3 linked regions of the Saccharomyces cerevisiae S288C genome follow. Changing the gene in region 2 together with the main gene of any one other region gives a genetic interaction. Each region holds a gene or a part of one and is shown on either strand. Other genes may lie near its edges.

The links. A genetic interaction does not mean that the proteins touch.
Region 1: mutations in SKG1 (region 2) and ECM7 together harm fitness more than expected from each alone (negative genetic interaction), as found in Saccharomyces cerevisiae (2 studies listed by BioGRID).
Region 3: of SKG1 (region 2) and KEX2, extra expression of one rescues a mutant of the other (dosage rescue), as found in Saccharomyces cerevisiae (one study listed by BioGRID).

The regions. Positions count from the first base shown.
Region 1 is NC_001144.5:1,021,028-1,025,676, reverse strand, and holds ECM7 (Ecm7p), read right to left. Parts: upstream 3,053-4,649; coding exon 1,706-3,052; downstream 1-1,705. Other genes in the region: NGK1 (hexokinase), read right to left, coding at 1-463; GMC2 (Gmc2p), read right to left, coding at 840-1,022, 1,105-1,488; chromatin-silencing protein SIR3, read left to right, coding at 3,426-4,649. UniProt on the Saccharomyces cerevisiae protein: May be involved in cell wall organization and biogenesis.
Region 2 is NC_001143.9:636,024-644,051, forward strand, and holds SKG1 (Skg1p), read right to left. Parts: upstream 3,946-8,028; coding exon 2,878-3,945; downstream 1-2,877. Other genes in the region: BAS1 (Bas1p), read left to right, coding at 1-2,263; SIR1 (Sir1p), read left to right, coding at 4,517-6,481.
Region 3 is NC_001146.8:200,915-206,577, forward strand, and holds KEX2 (kexin KEX2), read left to right. Parts: upstream 1-1,513; coding exon 1,514-3,958; downstream 3,959-5,663. Other genes in the region: LAP3 (bleomycin hydrolase), read left to right, coding at 1-1,019; YTP1 (Ytp1p), read left to right, coding at 4,274-5,653.

The DNA of each region.
Region 1 (4,649 bases), on a different chromosome or scaffold from region 2:
CAAATCCTTTTCCCATTGCAACTACCTCCCCTTCTGGATTTAGAGGAAAACTGAATGTCACGGAAACAAAAAATTTAGACGCCTCAGATGACTCGTTCTTTTTTTTTATATAACCATTTGCAGCCAGCCTGGTACATATTGTATAGATGATTTGATTAAAGAAATTCGAATCAACGATGTTGTAGGTAAGTTCGAAGGCATCATTGTATTCGATAACGATTTGGGGCAGAGAGATAATTGCAAATTTCAGTCTTGTCCCGCCGAAATCAATGGTCAGAATTTTGTCTTCAGGGTTCCATCGCGATCGTTTATCTGGGACTAAACACTGCGGGAGCATAGAAATCGTATTTGTCTGAAGCCGTGATAACAACTCCTCTTGGAATTGGTCAACTACATTCACTATGGAATCAGCGGGTAAAATCAAGCTTTCTAATTCCCGAGCTAGAGTGCTTTCAATTGTCATGTTCTGAACCTCCTTTTGTTAACTTTTTCTTTACTTGCTTATATGTGAAAGTTCGAGGGGTGGACGTTTATTTTTCTTTCTGGCTTACATTCTTGTGTTTATAATGATAACCGATATACTCAGTTAACTTCCCCGGTGTTCAGTATCCCTGAATAAAATTTTTTGCTATCTGGCGCTAACAATACCTGGCAAAAAAAAAAAAAACATATAAACAAAAAAAAAAAAAAAAAAAATTAACCCAACGAAGGGAACATGACTTCTTTTAGAGAGCCGAGTGATAAGGCCAGTTGTCGTAAAAGTAAATAAATAAAATCAAAAAAAGCAAATGTGAGAAATAGCTAACATTAGCAATATCGCAGATATATTTGAGTATGGCTCATCTATCATCTGTTAGTCTTTGAATAGTTTCCTTAATTTCATTTGCGGATCTTTCCATTTCAATATTTTTGTACTCTAAATGGCGCTCTTTCTTCTTCATCCACGTTTCAGCATTGAGAATGGAGTCACCACATCTTTCCACGTCTATTTGAAAAGCGGATTCACACCAAAGACGTTGTTGCTGTTATTAAATTTGCATTATTAGTAAAAGAACGTAGTAAAATTGAGATGGCACAGGATGCCTAGTTTCGACCTATACTTACTTTTGCTAGCCTTTCCATTTTTTCATATATTTCGTCCATGTCTTTTGTATATTGCTCAATAATGTTTACAGGAACAGTACAAAACAAATCCCAATCCATCTTTTCCTGTTGTTGTTTGGACATCATCCCATCTTGACTGGAGAGGTCTTTGTACGATTCCCGGATCAAATGAGTGATTTCATTAATTTTCTTGAGTACATCATTTTCCAGGATATGGTTTTGGAAGGTTTCCTGTGGATTGTTGATTTGCCATTCGGCGGCTAATTTGAAAAGACTTGGTATATTGTTGGTCACGTCCGGACTTTTTAATGAGTTGGTTCTTTCCAAGTTATTATCCTGGTCGTTCTCAGATGATTGCCTAGGGACTTCCGTAGTATCACTCATGGTTATAGTTCCGCTTTTCTCTTCTTCGTTGCTTAATGATGTTTAGTTCTGAAATAACGATTTTTTAAGCGCTTGGCAATTTCACAAGAAAAAGGTGAAAAAAGAAAAATAAGATTAAACGATGAATGCGATTTTTTGTTTCTGTTATTATTATTATATAATTAAAAACTAGACAAATATAGTATGCATATGCATTTTGAATGATGGGTGAAAGAATTCAAAACTGTAATGCTGACGAAGGCTTGATAACCCTTTGCATACTTTCTTCACTGTCGTTGCTTGACCGGAATCTTATGTCCTGCAATTCGAATTCCTCTCTAGTAGCAAATGGTTCGTGTTTGCCGCCATTGCTTATATTTGCGGTGGGATTTCCATGGTCTAAACTGGTGTTAGCATCATTTTCACTATTTAAGTCAACATCAGATGTTTTTCTTATTGTTGCCATAGTATCACTGTTTCTCATCAGTTCAGCCTCGCCCGAAGTAGACTGTCGTTGCGGATAACGTTGACTGTAAGAAGTTTCATCGTCTAGATCTGCATCAGTAAATACACCGGCTTGGTAGCCTAAGAATTTATCATCGATTCCACCTCCATAGGACGTGCCATTATCGGAAATACACCATTCTAAGCCAGACCAAGCTAAGCATGACACAGAAATCAAACCTGCAAAACACCACAGAAGCGCAAACCATGTAACTCCAAGATGGTAAGAAAACCCGAAGGCCTCTAATTCTGTATTAATTCTAGACTGAATAGTGTAGTTAACCCAGGCAAGGCTTATGCTACTTATCAGGCCCCCAATGAAAACAACTAGCGATAGTAGAGAGTTGATATGAACAAGTGCCCTTTCTTTGAGGGCGTTCATAAACCTTCCCTTTATGTAGTAGTACCATATCATGAAAAATAACATACACACCTGGAAACTAATAACTGCATAGAGTAAATGTAACACGTTGGCCTTTTTATGTTTTAAACTCCTCATGTAGGTCGTGTATGCAGAACTTTCTGCCTGTTGTGAACCGATTTTGTTGTATGCATAATCTAAAATGATATCTAAACCCAAGCTTTCTAAAACCTCACGATAATCAAAAAGATAGTCCGTTCCTATGCTACTGCAGGTACTCTTAGTAGTCGAATTCTTTACGCTATGCATATTTCCTTCAGAGTCGAATACTTCCACCATGGTATATGTTGAATCGCACCTCCCATAAAGCGACACTGTGATGTACTGAGGAACATTCTTTATCTGACTTTCGGTGTAAGCAGTCAATATATACAGTTCGGATGTTGTTAAGCCTACACCGTTATTTTCTTCTGTAGATGTCGACTGCTCCATAGACTCTCTCAACACGGTAAATAAACCCGTCGTAATATCAGCAGAGTAAGTATCCAGTCGTGACATGTACAATGTTCTTGGCGAAGAAAGGGGTCCGACAGTCAACGCCAACCCGAAAGAGATTATGAGTAATGTCGTCCCTAATCTTAGCCACTGTACCACTTTCTCAAGGGCTGTAAGGTTCTGGAATGGCCTGGCTATTGTATCTCGTATTCTTGACATCACCATTTATTTTCGATCCATTAGATATGCAAGGGTATTCGCAATGACTGATACACAAAGAAATGGTGTAAATGAAACTAAGTAGAGAGTTGACAGTGTTAAGCAAACAACGAATCCAGGGGAACAAAGTATTCGGGACGTTTGTTTATGCGGCGTCCAAAAGATGTATTTAAAGTTAACCATATTATGTATCAATCTAAATAAAGAAATAATTGTAAATTTTCATCGCATCAGTAATATGACCGCGAAAACGCTATTCTTTCCAAAAAAGTTAAAATGAACATAGTATGAAAAAGAAAAACACATAAGCAGCCCTTTCATCACCTTCCTTACAGGGGTTTAAGAAAGTTGTTTTGTTCTAACAATTGGATTAGCTAAAATGGCTAAAACATTGAAAGATTTGGACGGTTGGCAAGTTATCATTACAGATGATCAGGGGAGGGTTATTGACGACAACAATAGAAGAAGATCAAGAAAAAGAGGAGGAGAAAACGTATTTCTGAAAAGAATTTCTGATGGATTGAGTTTTGGGAAGGGTGAGAGCGTGATATTTAATGATAATGTGACGGAAACATATTCTGTCTACTTGATCCATGAGATCAGACTCAATACACTTAATAATGTTGTGGAGATTTGGGTTTTTTCTTACTTGAGATGGTTTGAACTCAAACCAAAACTGTACTACGAACAATTCAGGCCAGATCTAATAAAGGAAGATCATCCTTTAGAATTTTACAAAGATAAATTTTTCAACGAAGTAAATAAGAGCGAGTTATATTTAACTGCTGAGCTATCAGAGATTTGGCTTAAGGATTTCATTGCAGTTGGACAGATACTGCCAGAGTCACAATGGAATGATAGTAGTATCGATAAAATAGAGGATAGAGATTTTCTAGTACGTTATGCATGCGAACCTACTGCGGAAAAGTTTGTACCAATTGATATTTTTCAAATCATAAGAAGAGTAAAGGAAATGGAACCCAAACAATCTGATGAATACTTGAAAAGAGTATCTGTACCAGTGAGTGGGCAGAAGACAAATAGACAGGTGATGCATAAGATGGGAGTTGAAAGATCTTCAAAAAGACTAGCAAAGAAACCTTCAATGAAAAAAATTAAAATCGAGCCCTCTGCAGATGATGACGTAAATAATGGAAATATACCGTCTCAGCGAGGAACGTCAACAACTCATGGTTCAATTTCTCCCCAAGAAGAGTCTGTTTCCCCTAACATCTCATCGGCGTCCCCTTCTGCGCTCACATCACCTACAGATTCTTCGAAAATTTTACAAAAAAGATCTATATCAAAGGAACTAATTGTTTCAGAGGAAATACCAATAAACTCTTCAGAACAGGAATCCGATTATGAGCCAAACAATGAAACATCTGTGCTTTCAAGTAAACCTGGGTCAAAGCCAGAGAAGACATCTACAGAACTCGTTGACGGCCGAGAGAATTTTGTATATGCAAATAATCCAGAAGTGAGTGATGATGGTGGGCTTGAAGAGGAAACAGATGAAGTTAGTTCAGAAAGTTCTGATGAAGCAATAATACCAGTAAATAAAAGACGTGGCGCTCACGGAAGCGAATTGAGCAGTAAAATT
Region 2 (8,028 bases):
AAAGGAGTTAGGCTATGAGAATGGACTTGAAGACGTAAAAACAATTCAACAATCCAACCATCTTTCTAAATGTATTGCTTGGGATGTTTTAGCTACACGATTCAAACACACCGTAAGAACTTCAAAGGATGTAAGAAAGCGTTGGACAGGATCTCTGGACCCAAACTTGAAGAAAGGTAAATGGACACAAGAAGAGGATGAGCAGCTCTTGAAAGCTTATGAAGAACATGGGCCTCACTGGCTGAGTATCTCCATGGATATCCCTGGAAGAACAGAGGATCAATGTGCGAAAAGGTACATTGAAGTGTTGGGACCTGGAAGTAAAGGTAGATTAAGAGAATGGACGCTCGAGGAAGATTTAAATCTGATAAGTAAAGTGAAGGCATACGGCACGAAATGGAGAAAGATTTCGTCGGAAATGGAATTCAGACCAAGTTTAACGTGCAGGAACAGATGGCGGAAAATTATTACTATGGTTGTGCGAGGACAAGCATCAGAAGTAATAACAAAGGCTATAAAAGAAAACAAGAACATAGACATGACAGACGGAAAACTCCGACAACATCCAATCGCCGATTCTGATATACGCTCAGATTCTACACCGAATAAAGAAGAACAGTTGCAGCTATCTCAACAGAACAACCCTTCATTGATAAAGCAGGATATATTGAATGTTAAAGAGAACGAATCGAGCAAACTACCAAGATTAAAGGATAATGATGGACCCATTTTAAATGACAGCAAGCCACAAGCATTACCTCCCTTAAAAGAGATATCTGCACCTCCACCAATCAGGATGACGCAAGTCGGTCAGACTCATACCAGTGGTAGCATTAGGAGCAAAGTATCTTTACCAATTGAAGGTCTTTCTCAAATGAACAAGCAAAGTCCTGGAGGAATCTCAGATAGCCCACAGACAAGCCTTCCCCCAGCATTCAATCCAGCATCTCTCGATGAGCATATGATGAATAGTAATAGTATTTCAGATTCTCCGAAGCATGCTTATTCTACTGTGAAAACTAGAGAACCAAATTCCTCTAGCACACAATGGAAATTTACATTAAAAGATGGTCAAGGTTTGTCAATTTCTAACGGAACTATTGACAGCACAAAATTAGTAAAAGAATTGGTTGACCAAGCTAAGAAGTACTCTTTAAAAATTTCGATACATCAACATATTCACAATCATTATGTTACATCCACAGACCATCCTGTCAGCAGCAATACTGGATTGTCAAATATAGGAAATATAAATGGAAACCCTCTATTAATGGATAGTTTCCCACATATGGGTAGACAACTGGGAAATGGTCTTCCAGGGTTAAATTCAAATAGTGACACTTTTAACCCAGAATATAGGACTTCTCTGGACAACATGGATAGCGATTTTTTATCAAGAACACCCAACTATAACGCATTCAGCTTGGAAGCAACTTCACACAATCCCGCTGACAATGCAAATGAACTTGGTTCACAAAGCAATAGAGAAACAAACAGCCCGTCTGTATTTTATCCTCAAGCAAATACATTGATCCCAACTAATTCTACCGCTACAAATAATGAAATCATTCAAGGAAACGTTAGTGCTAATAGTATGTCACCGAATTTCAATGGAACAAATGGCAAGGCACCAAGTTCGACGGCATCATATACAACGAGCGGTTCAGAAATGCCACCTGATGTAGGTCCTAATAGAATAGCGCATTTCAACTATTTGCCACCAACTATACGGCCTCATTTAGGCTCATCAGATGCGACAAGAGGTGCTGACTTGAATAAGTTACTCAATCCATCTCCAAATTCAGTAAGAAGTAACGGCAGTAAAACTAAGAAAAAAGAAAAAAGAAAAAGTGAATCATCTCAGCATCATTCTTCATCATCTGTGACAACCAATAAATTCAATCACATTGATCAGTCGGAGATATCAAGGACTACATCCAGATCTGATACTCCATTGAGAGATGAAGACGGCCTGGATTTTTGGGAAACGTTAAGATCCTTGGCTACTACGAATCCAAATCCTCCAGTTGAAAAGTCAGCTGAAAATGATGGTGCCAAGCCTCAAGTGGTACATCAAGGGATTGGCTCACATACAGAAGATAGCAGCCTAGGTTCCCATAGCGGAGGATACGATTTTTTTAACGAACTGTTGGATAAAAAGGCAGATACACTGCATAATGAGGCTAAGAAGACGAGCGAGCATGATATGACGTCAGGAGGTTCTACCGATAATGGGTCAGTCCTGCCACTGAATCCTAGTTGAGAAGGCAAGGCCGAAAAAAAACACAAATCTTTCAATTGTTTAACATATTAGTTTTGTAATAAGCATAAGTGTATATTATACATAGCACAAGATGGATAATATTCTCTGAAAAAAACGTGTAGTTTCATGACTCGCATTTTTTTTTTTTTTTCTTTCATGTTGATTAACATACTTGAATTCTGTATTTAAGCTGTATAAAAAGTTGTTCTATTTCATATACGGCGATTTTGCATAATTAAGAACTTTGCCTTGTACACTATTTTACTAGGGTATTCTTCCAAGATTTCTCTTCTTATTTTTTCCCTTTATAAGTCATTGTAGCAACATAATTTCCTGGAAATTTTAAGGGAATATATTTCTTTCCGCCCACAAACACAAAGGGCGTTTAGTAAATTATGCGGCGATGTATAAAAGAGAAAGCAGGCAAAAAGAAAATGAAAAATGAGACTATGAACTTTAAGAATTATGTCTTGACTAATTTTTTAAAACCCATCATCCATGAAGAGTTCTGTTTGTATTGTTTACGTTTGATGTTTGAAGTGAATTTAATAGAATTGTTCCTCTTTTTTTCTTCTTTTTTTAACTATAATATAATGTTTAGTATATCAACAGTACTATTTAGGCCTTAGACTTTCTATGAACTCTCTCTTACTCTGTGAGTAGTTGGTAAATTCGTTTTCGTATTGATCTTCCTCAGCAATTTCCCCGATATTGCCCACATCATAGTTATTCTGTAATTTGTATAAATCCTTATCTTTATCTGTTATTGCAGACCTGCTATCCTTTACCGAGTGGTCAGCATCCATTCCTTCGTTATCTTTATCAAAAGTGTTTGGTAACTGTGATTGAGCCGCACTTTTGGGTGTTGCAAACACATCCTCTAGGGCATCGCGCTTATTTACCGATGTTATAGAGGAATTCCTTGTATGGAAGGACGCGTTTGAAATGTTACCATTTAAAAACGAGGATGAAGCTCTCCTTGGGTAATACGAACCAAAGTCCTGATTCTGCAAATTTCTTATCAGATTTTCATTACTAGATTGGCGAGTATTATGTTTAAGTTCTATCATCGAAGCTTTGTTTTGGTCATTGCTAGTATTAGTATCACTGGAAGGATCTGCGAAAAAGTTTGGTCCTTCATCAGAAATAACAGGGACCATCTGATCATAAACGCTGATCTGTCTCTTTGTTATATGCCGTTGGGAAGATGATAAGGAAACATTGGAGCTGTTATTTATACTTGGTAAATCCACAACGGACTTCTGCCTGGCATTATTGCCGTAGTTATTATTTCGTACTTGAAGTAAATTTATTTTCCTACGGTATGCTGGCACATAGTATTTACTATTCTTTTTCCCTAACGGTTTCTCTTGATCTCGCGATTTTCCATCTTTTTCTTCTGGATGAGCAGATCCTTCCGATGAACCAGAAGTGTGATCAGGATTTTTTAGCTCGGAGCTGGCTAGTGCTGCTTCATCTTTACTGTCTCTTAAGGGTCCAAAATTGTCAAAGGACACGAAACCACTTTCATCATAAATAGCCCTTTCCAATTCTCTATCGTCTTGTTCCTCCCTCTTGTATCTTTTTTGTAGGTTAAACCAGAAACATACTGCTATTATAATACCTACACCGACGGGTATACCCACCGCACAACCCACCGCAACTGATGTGCTGGCAGTCATCTCTTTTACTTCTTACTACGATGAGCTCCCAAAAAAAAAATATATCCCTGATAAATAACACAAAACTAAGAAGCCGGACCTAGGTGAAGAGTAAAATAAGGACTCGAAATTTTGTCTAATACTCAATAACTCAGTACAAAAACTGCCTCACAGTATAAAATATCCAACTTAGAGATATTCGTTTTAATTGTCCCGAGCAGGCAAACGATAACTGATCCTTAGTCACAATAATAAGTCTATGCTTTCTGTTGAAAAAGAACAAATAGCGAGCGAGTCAGCAAGCAGAATCTAAAGAGGCTTGCAACGAATGGTAGGCAAAGAATTTCTAACCCGAAACCTCAAGCGAATGGTGGATTCCTTACTTCCAATCTTCTAAAAGTCTTTAACTCTGATTTCGAGGATCAGTACTTTTTCTATGGTTTATTAATATCGGCCTCGAAAAGTTTGTCGCGAGAATTTGGGCACATGTGACCCGGAATGTATATTGAGTAATATAAGAATGAGAACAATAATGTCAATAATCACACGTCGTTATAAGCAGCTGAAAAATTATAAGATAATATCAAAAAAAATGCTACAGATCAACTCCAGGCTTGCAGTTATTGATGGATGGCTGGTAGACACTGTGAAGCGAAAACCAATAAATTTTCGGAGTCCTGAAGTAAGATTACTGTTACCCAATGACGATGACTACAAAAAGCTATCACAACAAAACTTGGTGGACTGGACGCGATTAAAGAAGGATTCTAATTCGGTGCTCGTTGGAGTGAAATCTATGGAACTATTTAAACACATAAAGCTAGTTTTGCGAGAGTTTTTCTTGTTAGAAGATGGAAGAATAATTCTGAAGAGGATCAGAAGCAAATTACGTTACAAAGTTGTCAAGAAATTAACTTGTAAATGCTGCAGGTTATATTTACCAAAATGGGGCACCGTGTACATACATCCGATGCTAAAAGATAAAGAAAAGCCCTTAGCGGGGGTATGTGAATTTTCATTGGATGTAAACCCTGATCGGGAGTATCCCCTTATTGAGATCAATGTTAGTCATCAATACATTATAATTGAGGGCTTCCTTCTATACTTAAATGAAAGGAGGCTCTATAGGTGGAACGATAACAATTTGAGGAGTCAGGTTGGCTTAACAAAATGGGCCCATTTAAGAAAAACTTACAATCCGGTAAGCCTTGACATACTTTATAGTTTGAATTCAAATTTTTATTTTGTAAAGGATGATCTGCTATTTCAATTATTAGGAAAGAGGGTATTTGTTAAATTTTGTAAAGTAATGGAAAATGGAAAATGCGGTAAGGCTCCACTGTGGTATCGTGTGAAGAGAACGACAACTGCCAAAGCAACACATATTGCATATGCCATATCAAATTCAACAGCCCCAGATTCATTCAAAAGTAAAAATAACGATTATAGGTTTATTGTCAGGGAAAAGCCAATTGTGGAGAATACTATCTCCAACCTGGATTATTCAGACATAAAAAAACAGCAGTTTACTGAAGCAGAGGTTGTAAAAAGAAAGATCTCAGCAGATATTTCTCAAATAGAGAATGTGCATACGCAATTTAATAGTCAAAAGGAAAAAAATAATATCAGGGTGAATAAGGTTTCTAGCGAGGTCCTAGATCAAATTTCGAAATTTCCTGTGTCCAGAGTCACCTTACTGTTGATGTCTGCTGGTCAAGATAAAAATTATATTGAACTTGTTGAAGAATTGGCAAGAAGGTTGGAAAAAATATGCATAGAAAAAACCACACAATCTTTAGAAGAGATAAGGGATACTTTTCAGGCGAATCCTGAGATGCAGGCTAGCTTTGATAAGGAATATTACCAGAGCATTGAAGAATATAAAATTACACTCGAACTTATTAAGGAAGACCTTTTGATTACTCTGATAAAACAAATGGAAAATATGTGGGCAGCTGAAAAAAAGTTTAGTACAGAGGAGGAGTATGTTTCGCCGAGGTTTTTAGTAGCAGATGGATTTCTAATCGACCTAGCAGAGGAAAAACCGATTAACCCAAAGGATCCGCGCTTACTGACACTGCTAAAAGATCATCAGCGTGCCATGATTGACCAAATGAATTTAGTTAAGTGGAATGACTTCAAAAAATATCAAGATCCTATCCCGCTGAAAGCCAAAACCTTATTTAAATTTTGTAAACAAATAAAGAAAAAATTCCTACGAGGTGCGGACTTCAAGTTACATACATTACCTACAGAAGCAAATTTAAAGTATGAGCCGGAGCGGATGACAGTTTTGTGTTCCTGTGTCCCTATTCTTTTGGATGACCAAACTGTCCAATATCTGTATGATGACAGCATTATTCCTGAATTTGAAGCAACATCTTCATATGCAACAAAGCAGTCAAAGTGTGGGCGGAAAATGTCTTTGCAAATGGAGCCTGACCTCCTTTTTCAAGAGGCCATTAGACGGATGCGACATTTAACTGCTTATGACGTTTTGAGAAGAAACTATATTGCGGCATTTGAGGAGCTATATATGGGAAACTGTAACGATTAAATAGTTGGTAAGATTATCAGTTATGGATACCAACATATAAGCGGGTGATGTCTCATTTCAATGAGGTCAGATAACTGGTACAGTTTCGCCTTTAATACACTTGTTTGACAGAAACTTGTTTTTAATTGCTTGATTAGCTAAGTAACTCGAGCCGTACTGTAGTACCGTTAAATATATATTATGTAGGACTTAGTAGAATATACTAATAATAGATACTGCAATTGATGATCCCAATTACTGTTTTATTGACTAACTTTCACTGAAATGTTTTCATTCTCTGATTTTATATTTAGTTGGCGAACTAGCTCATCCTAATTATAATTAAACTTATATATAGCATAAACCGACAATAATGCGTGGGTGGTCCTCCATGCCGAATTTGTGAACTGAATTATTATCTAAGCACTGGATCGATCACCTTAAGATGATATATTATTTATAACTAAAACGCAGCAGCATTACACTCCAGAGTAACTCCTGAATTTCGTCATGGCATGTACTTATACTATATAACCAACAAAGGATGACTGAATAAGAACCAAATACTTTTCAAGAGATAAGATACGCGTTGCCATTGTTCGCAAGGCAGATCAAGAAGCTTCCTAGGCCTGTGAAAAAAGGAGGAAAAAAGAAATGAATTTTCTAGCTGTATTTAGATTGGATTTGAGGTTCACTAGTATAAGCAACAGCTCCAGTTCTTTAGTCAAGTGCCAGCTTCCCTTGAAATATTAACCTCCCTTTTTTCTTCGTAAACCACTATTATGACCATCGGCCTGTTAATAAGGAGAAAAATAGAAAACTGAAGCAATAGCGGTATCATAAAGCTGACCGTGTAAAGTCACCACTAACCTCCCAATAAACTCTTCCAACTCTGTTTTTTTCAAAGCTAGTGGTGCATTTGAACGCTATTTAGGATTCCGATCTCTTCAGAAACATGCTGATTTAGAAGTAGTCAAATTACTTATAGGCGTGAATTTCGAAATTGATCTCTTAAGCAGAATTTAGTTGTATCAAACTATATTCGTTTTGGAGCGCATATACTTTACATTTCGATGCGTTTAACGTTGCCTCTGTTCTTTTCCTATTAATTCTATTAGATAAGTTTATTTCCATCTCATATAAAGAAGAACCTGTCGAGGTTATATGATCTCTTTTCCGTCTTTTTACCGATTCTGGTTAGTGTATGCTTCATTTGAGTTTCTTGCACTGCTTTGCCGACCAAATATGGAAATCATCTATTTTAACTCTATTATTGAAGAGGCTTTTCCTGGCACATATAAATATGAATATAAATGTTGTGCGGCTGTAATATTTGGCTAGAATTACCAGCCTGATTGCGGGTTATATATTGCCTTCTTTTGGACATTTACTCCCGGTGTAATGTTGGCAGCAGTAGTACCTATACCTGTGTGCCACCCGTTTGGATATTACTATAACTTCAAAATATGGGAGGATTACTTTCTCGAAAGTTGCTAAAAAAATCATTCGGGAATTTTCGCTACAGATTAATCAAATGTAGCTCGACAGTCTTCATATTATGAGTTTAA
Region 3 (5,663 bases), on a different chromosome or scaffold from region 2:
ACCAAATCGTCTCCTCGGCTGATCAAGACATCGACTCACGTCTCGTGCAATACTTGTTAGCAGCTCCAACAGAAGACGGTGGCCAATACAGCATGTTTTTGAACCTAGTCAAGAAGTATGGCCTTATCCCCAAAGATTTATACGGGGATCTACCTTATTCTACTACTGCGTCCAGAAAATGGAATTCTCTGTTGACTACTAAACTGAGAGAATTTGCCGAGACTCTAAGAACAGCTTTGAAAGAGCGTTCTGCCGATGATTCCATAATTGTCACTCTGAGAGAGCAAATGCAAAGAGAAATCTTCAGGTTGATGTCGTTGTTCATGGACATACCTCCAGTGCAACCAAACGAGCAATTCACTTGGGAATACGTTGACAAAGACAAGAAAATCCACACTATCAAATCGACTCCGTTAGAATTTGCCTCCAAATACGCAAAATTGGACCCTTCCACGCCAGTCTCATTGATCAATGATCCAAGACACCCATATGGTAAATTAATTAAGATCGATCGTTTAGGAAACGTCCTTGGCGGAGATGCCGTGATTTACTTAAATGTTGACAATGAAACACTATCTAAATTGGTTGTTAAGAGATTACAAAATAACAAAGCTGTCTTTTTTGGATCTCACACTCCAAAGTTCATGGACAAGAAAACTGGTGTCATGGATATTGAATTGTGGAACTATCCTGCCATCGGCTATAATTTACCTCAGCAAAAGGCATCGCGTATTAGATACCATGAAAGTTTGATGACTCATGCTATGTTGATCACTGGCTGCCACGTCGATGAAACGTCTAAATTACCACTTCGCTACCGCGTTGAAAATTCCTGGGGTAAAGACTCCGGTAAAGACGGATTATACGTGATGACTCAAAAGTACTTCGAGGAGTACTGCTTTCAAATTGTGGTCGATATCAATGAATTGCCAAAAGAGCTGGCTTCAAAATTCACCTCAGGTAAGGAAGAGCCGATTGTCTTGCCCATCTGGGACCCAATGGGTGCTTTGGCCAAATAAATAGTTTCAGCAGCTCTGATGTAGATACACGTATCTCGACATGTTTTATTTTTACTATACATACATAAAAGAAATAAAAAATGATAACGTGTATATTATTATTCATATAATCAATGAGGGTCATTTTCTGAAACGCAAAAAACGGTAAATGGAAAAAAAATAAAGATAGAAAAAGAAAACAAACAAAGGAAAGGTTAGCATATTAAATAACTGAGCTGATACTTCAACAGCATCGCTGAAGAGAACAGTATTGAAACCGAAACATTTTCTAAAGGCAAACAAGGTACTCCATATTTGCTGGACGTGTTCTTTCTCTCGTTTCATATGCATAATTCTGTCATAAGCCTGTTCTTTTTCCTGGCTTAAACATCCCGTTTTGTAAAAGAGAAATCTATTCCACATATTTCATTCATTCGGCTACCATACTAAGGATAAACTAATCCCGTTGTTTTTTGGCCTCGTCACATAATTATAAACTACTAACCCATTATCAGATGAAAGTGAGGAAATATATTACTTTATGCTTTTGGTGGGCCTTTTCAACATCCGCTCTTGTATCATCACAACAAATTCCATTGAAGGACCATACGTCACGACAGTATTTTGCTGTAGAAAGCAATGAAACATTATCCCGCTTGGAGGAAATGCATCCAAATTGGAAATATGAACATGATGTTCGAGGGCTACCAAACCATTATGTTTTTTCAAAAGAGTTGCTAAAATTGGGCAAAAGATCATCATTAGAAGAGTTACAGGGGGATAACAACGACCACATATTATCTGTCCATGATTTATTCCCGCGTAACGACCTATTTAAGAGACTACCGGTGCCTGCTCCACCAATGGACTCAAGCTTGTTACCGGTAAAAGAAGCTGAGGATAAACTCAGCATAAATGATCCGCTTTTTGAGAGGCAGTGGCACTTGGTCAATCCAAGTTTTCCTGGCAGTGATATAAATGTTCTTGATCTGTGGTACAATAATATTACAGGCGCAGGGGTCGTGGCTGCCATTGTTGATGATGGCCTTGACTACGAAAATGAAGACTTGAAGGATAATTTTTGCGCTGAAGGTTCTTGGGATTTCAACGACAATACCAATTTACCTAAACCAAGATTATCTGATGACTACCATGGTACGAGATGTGCAGGTGAAATAGCTGCCAAAAAAGGTAACAATTTTTGCGGTGTCGGGGTAGGTTACAACGCTAAAATCTCAGGCATAAGAATCTTATCCGGTGATATCACTACGGAAGATGAAGCTGCGTCCTTGATTTATGGTCTAGACGTAAACGATATATATTCATGCTCATGGGGTCCCGCTGATGACGGAAGACATTTACAAGGCCCTAGTGACCTGGTGAAAAAGGCTTTAGTAAAAGGTGTTACTGAGGGAAGAGATTCCAAAGGAGCGATTTACGTTTTTGCCAGTGGAAATGGTGGAACTCGTGGTGATAATTGCAATTACGACGGCTATACTAATTCCATATATTCTATTACTATTGGGGCTATTGATCACAAAGATCTACATCCTCCTTATTCCGAAGGTTGTTCCGCCGTCATGGCAGTCACGTATTCTTCAGGTTCAGGCGAATATATTCATTCGAGTGATATCAACGGCAGATGCAGTAATAGCCACGGTGGAACGTCTGCGGCTGCTCCATTAGCTGCCGGTGTTTACACTTTGTTACTAGAAGCCAACCCAAACCTAACTTGGAGAGACGTACAGTATTTATCAATCTTGTCTGCGGTAGGGTTAGAAAAGAACGCTGACGGAGATTGGAGAGATAGCGCCATGGGGAAGAAATACTCTCATCGCTATGGCTTTGGTAAAATCGATGCCCATAAGTTAATTGAAATGTCCAAGACCTGGGAGAATGTTAACGCACAAACCTGGTTTTACCTGCCAACATTGTATGTTTCCCAGTCCACAAACTCCACGGAAGAGACATTAGAATCCGTCATAACCATATCAGAAAAAAGTCTTCAAGATGCTAACTTCAAGAGAATTGAGCACGTCACGGTAACTGTAGATATTGATACAGAAATTAGGGGAACTACGACTGTCGATTTAATATCACCAGCGGGGATAATTTCAAACCTTGGCGTTGTAAGACCAAGAGATGTTTCATCAGAGGGATTCAAAGACTGGACATTCATGTCTGTAGCACATTGGGGTGAGAACGGCGTAGGTGATTGGAAAATCAAGGTTAAGACAACAGAAAATGGACACAGGATTGACTTCCACAGTTGGAGGCTGAAGCTCTTTGGGGAATCCATTGATTCATCTAAAACAGAAACTTTCGTCTTTGGAAACGATAAAGAGGAGGTTGAACCAGCTGCTACAGAAAGTACCGTATCACAATATTCTGCCAGTTCAACTTCTATTTCCATCAGCGCTACTTCTACATCTTCTATCTCAATTGGTGTGGAAACGTCGGCCATTCCCCAAACGACTACTGCGAGTACCGATCCTGATTCTGATCCAAACACTCCTAAAAAACTTTCCTCTCCTAGGCAAGCCATGCATTATTTTTTAACAATATTTTTGATTGGCGCCACATTTTTGGTGTTATACTTCATGTTTTTTATGAAATCAAGGAGAAGGATCAGAAGGTCAAGAGCGGAAACGTATGAATTCGATATCATTGATACAGACTCTGAGTACGATTCTACTTTGGACAATGGAACTTCCGGAATTACTGAGCCCGAAGAGGTTGAGGACTTCGATTTTGATTTGTCCGATGAAGACCATCTTGCAAGTTTGTCTTCATCAGAAAACGGTGATGCTGAACATACAATTGATAGTGTACTAACAAACGAAAATCCATTTAGTGACCCTATAAAGCAAAAGTTCCCAAATGACGCCAACGCAGAATCTGCTTCCAATAAATTACAAGAATTACAGCCTGATGTTCCTCCATCTTCCGGACGATCGTGATTCGATATGTACAGAAAGCTTCAAATTACAAAATAGCATTTTTTTCTTATAGATTATAATACTCTCTCATACGTATACGTATATGTGTATATGATATATAAACAAACATTAATATCCTATTCCTTCCGTTTGAAATCCCTATGATGTACTTTGCATTGTTTGCACCCGCGAATAAAATGAAAACTCCGAACCGATATATCAAGCACATAAAAGGGGAGGGTCCAATTAATGCATATTTAAGACCACAGCTGAATAACTTTAAAACGGCAGACAAAACAAAAAATAGGTCGAATAAACCTTACCTGCCTAGAAGGAATGACAGCAGCTAATAAGAATATTGTCTTCGGATTTTCCAGATCCATTAGCGCAATTCTACTAATATGCTTTTTCTTTGAAAAAGTCTGCGGTGATATGGAGCATGATATGGGCATGGATGATACTTCGGGATACACGAGGCCAGAAATTGTGCAGGCTGGGTCGAAATCTTTCCACTGGCTCTGCACTTTGGGATTCTTGTTGCTTTTACCATCCGTGGTGACGTGCCTTTCGTTCGCTGGCAGGATATATTCAGCTACCCTCTTACAATGCACTTGTGCCGTTTACGCTTTCTTAGAAGCTGCCGTATTAAGATTTCAAGACAATGATGGGGTAGAAAATAGAACTTCAAGGGGAACCGCATGGTTTTTGGTGGGACTTACTTGGATAACCTTATTCTTTGGTGGATTAGCTGGAGGAACTGGTTTCTTAGTGAAAAGCAAGAGGTTGCAAACGTTCATATCAAATGCAGGTGAGAAAAGGTTGTCATATATCCATCGTGGTTTATCCTTTCTAACTGTTCTAACAGGTTGGGTTAAAGTCTGTTTGGCACCTGTTGCGCTCTTTGGGTTTTGTAGAGAGGCACACACAGGGCAATGCATCGCTCATGGTATCATGGGATCCGCGTTTGTGTTGTACGGGTTCATTTATGTACTGGTTTTGGTTATACCATGGATTCGCAGTGCCCAAACCTCATATTCACAGGATTACGTCGACAGTTGGGTTATGTGCATATGGGGCGTTGTAAATACTTTTACTGAACACAGGTGGGGACGTGAAGGATGGAGTGTTCACGATTATCAACACACGTTTATGGGAATTATCTGGTGGACTGGTGGAATACTCGGGATTTTCCTTTCCAGAAATGGCAGAAGAACATTTGTACCAAGTTTGATTATTATTTTCACCGGATGGGCCATGTCTGAGCACGCCCAGCACTTGATAATTAGCACAAAAGTCCATAATATGTTTGGGCTAGTTTTAATGTGTGGAGGCGCTTTAAGAATTATCGAAATATCTTTTTTACTACGTGATAAAAGAACGCTGGACAAAATACATTCATTCCAATACCTTGCTCCCTTTTGTTTAGTATGTTCAGGTCTCCTATTTATGGGCGCAAACGAAGAACAACTCATTTTAGTGTTGCGGTTGGGAGGCGACCATAGTGCGTACGTTCTAATTATCGTATCAGGCGCATTTTTGGTCTACTTCTGGATGATTGCATGTTTGGAATTCTACCTATATCTACTTGAAAAGGGAAAACAAGGATTCCTTCCGAAATCATACGAACTTGAAGAGGAAAACAATAACGTGAGCTTTGAGCTAGATAACATATCGAACGAAGATGTGGATGAAGATACCACTCCCTTTAACGTTTGAATAGTGGGCA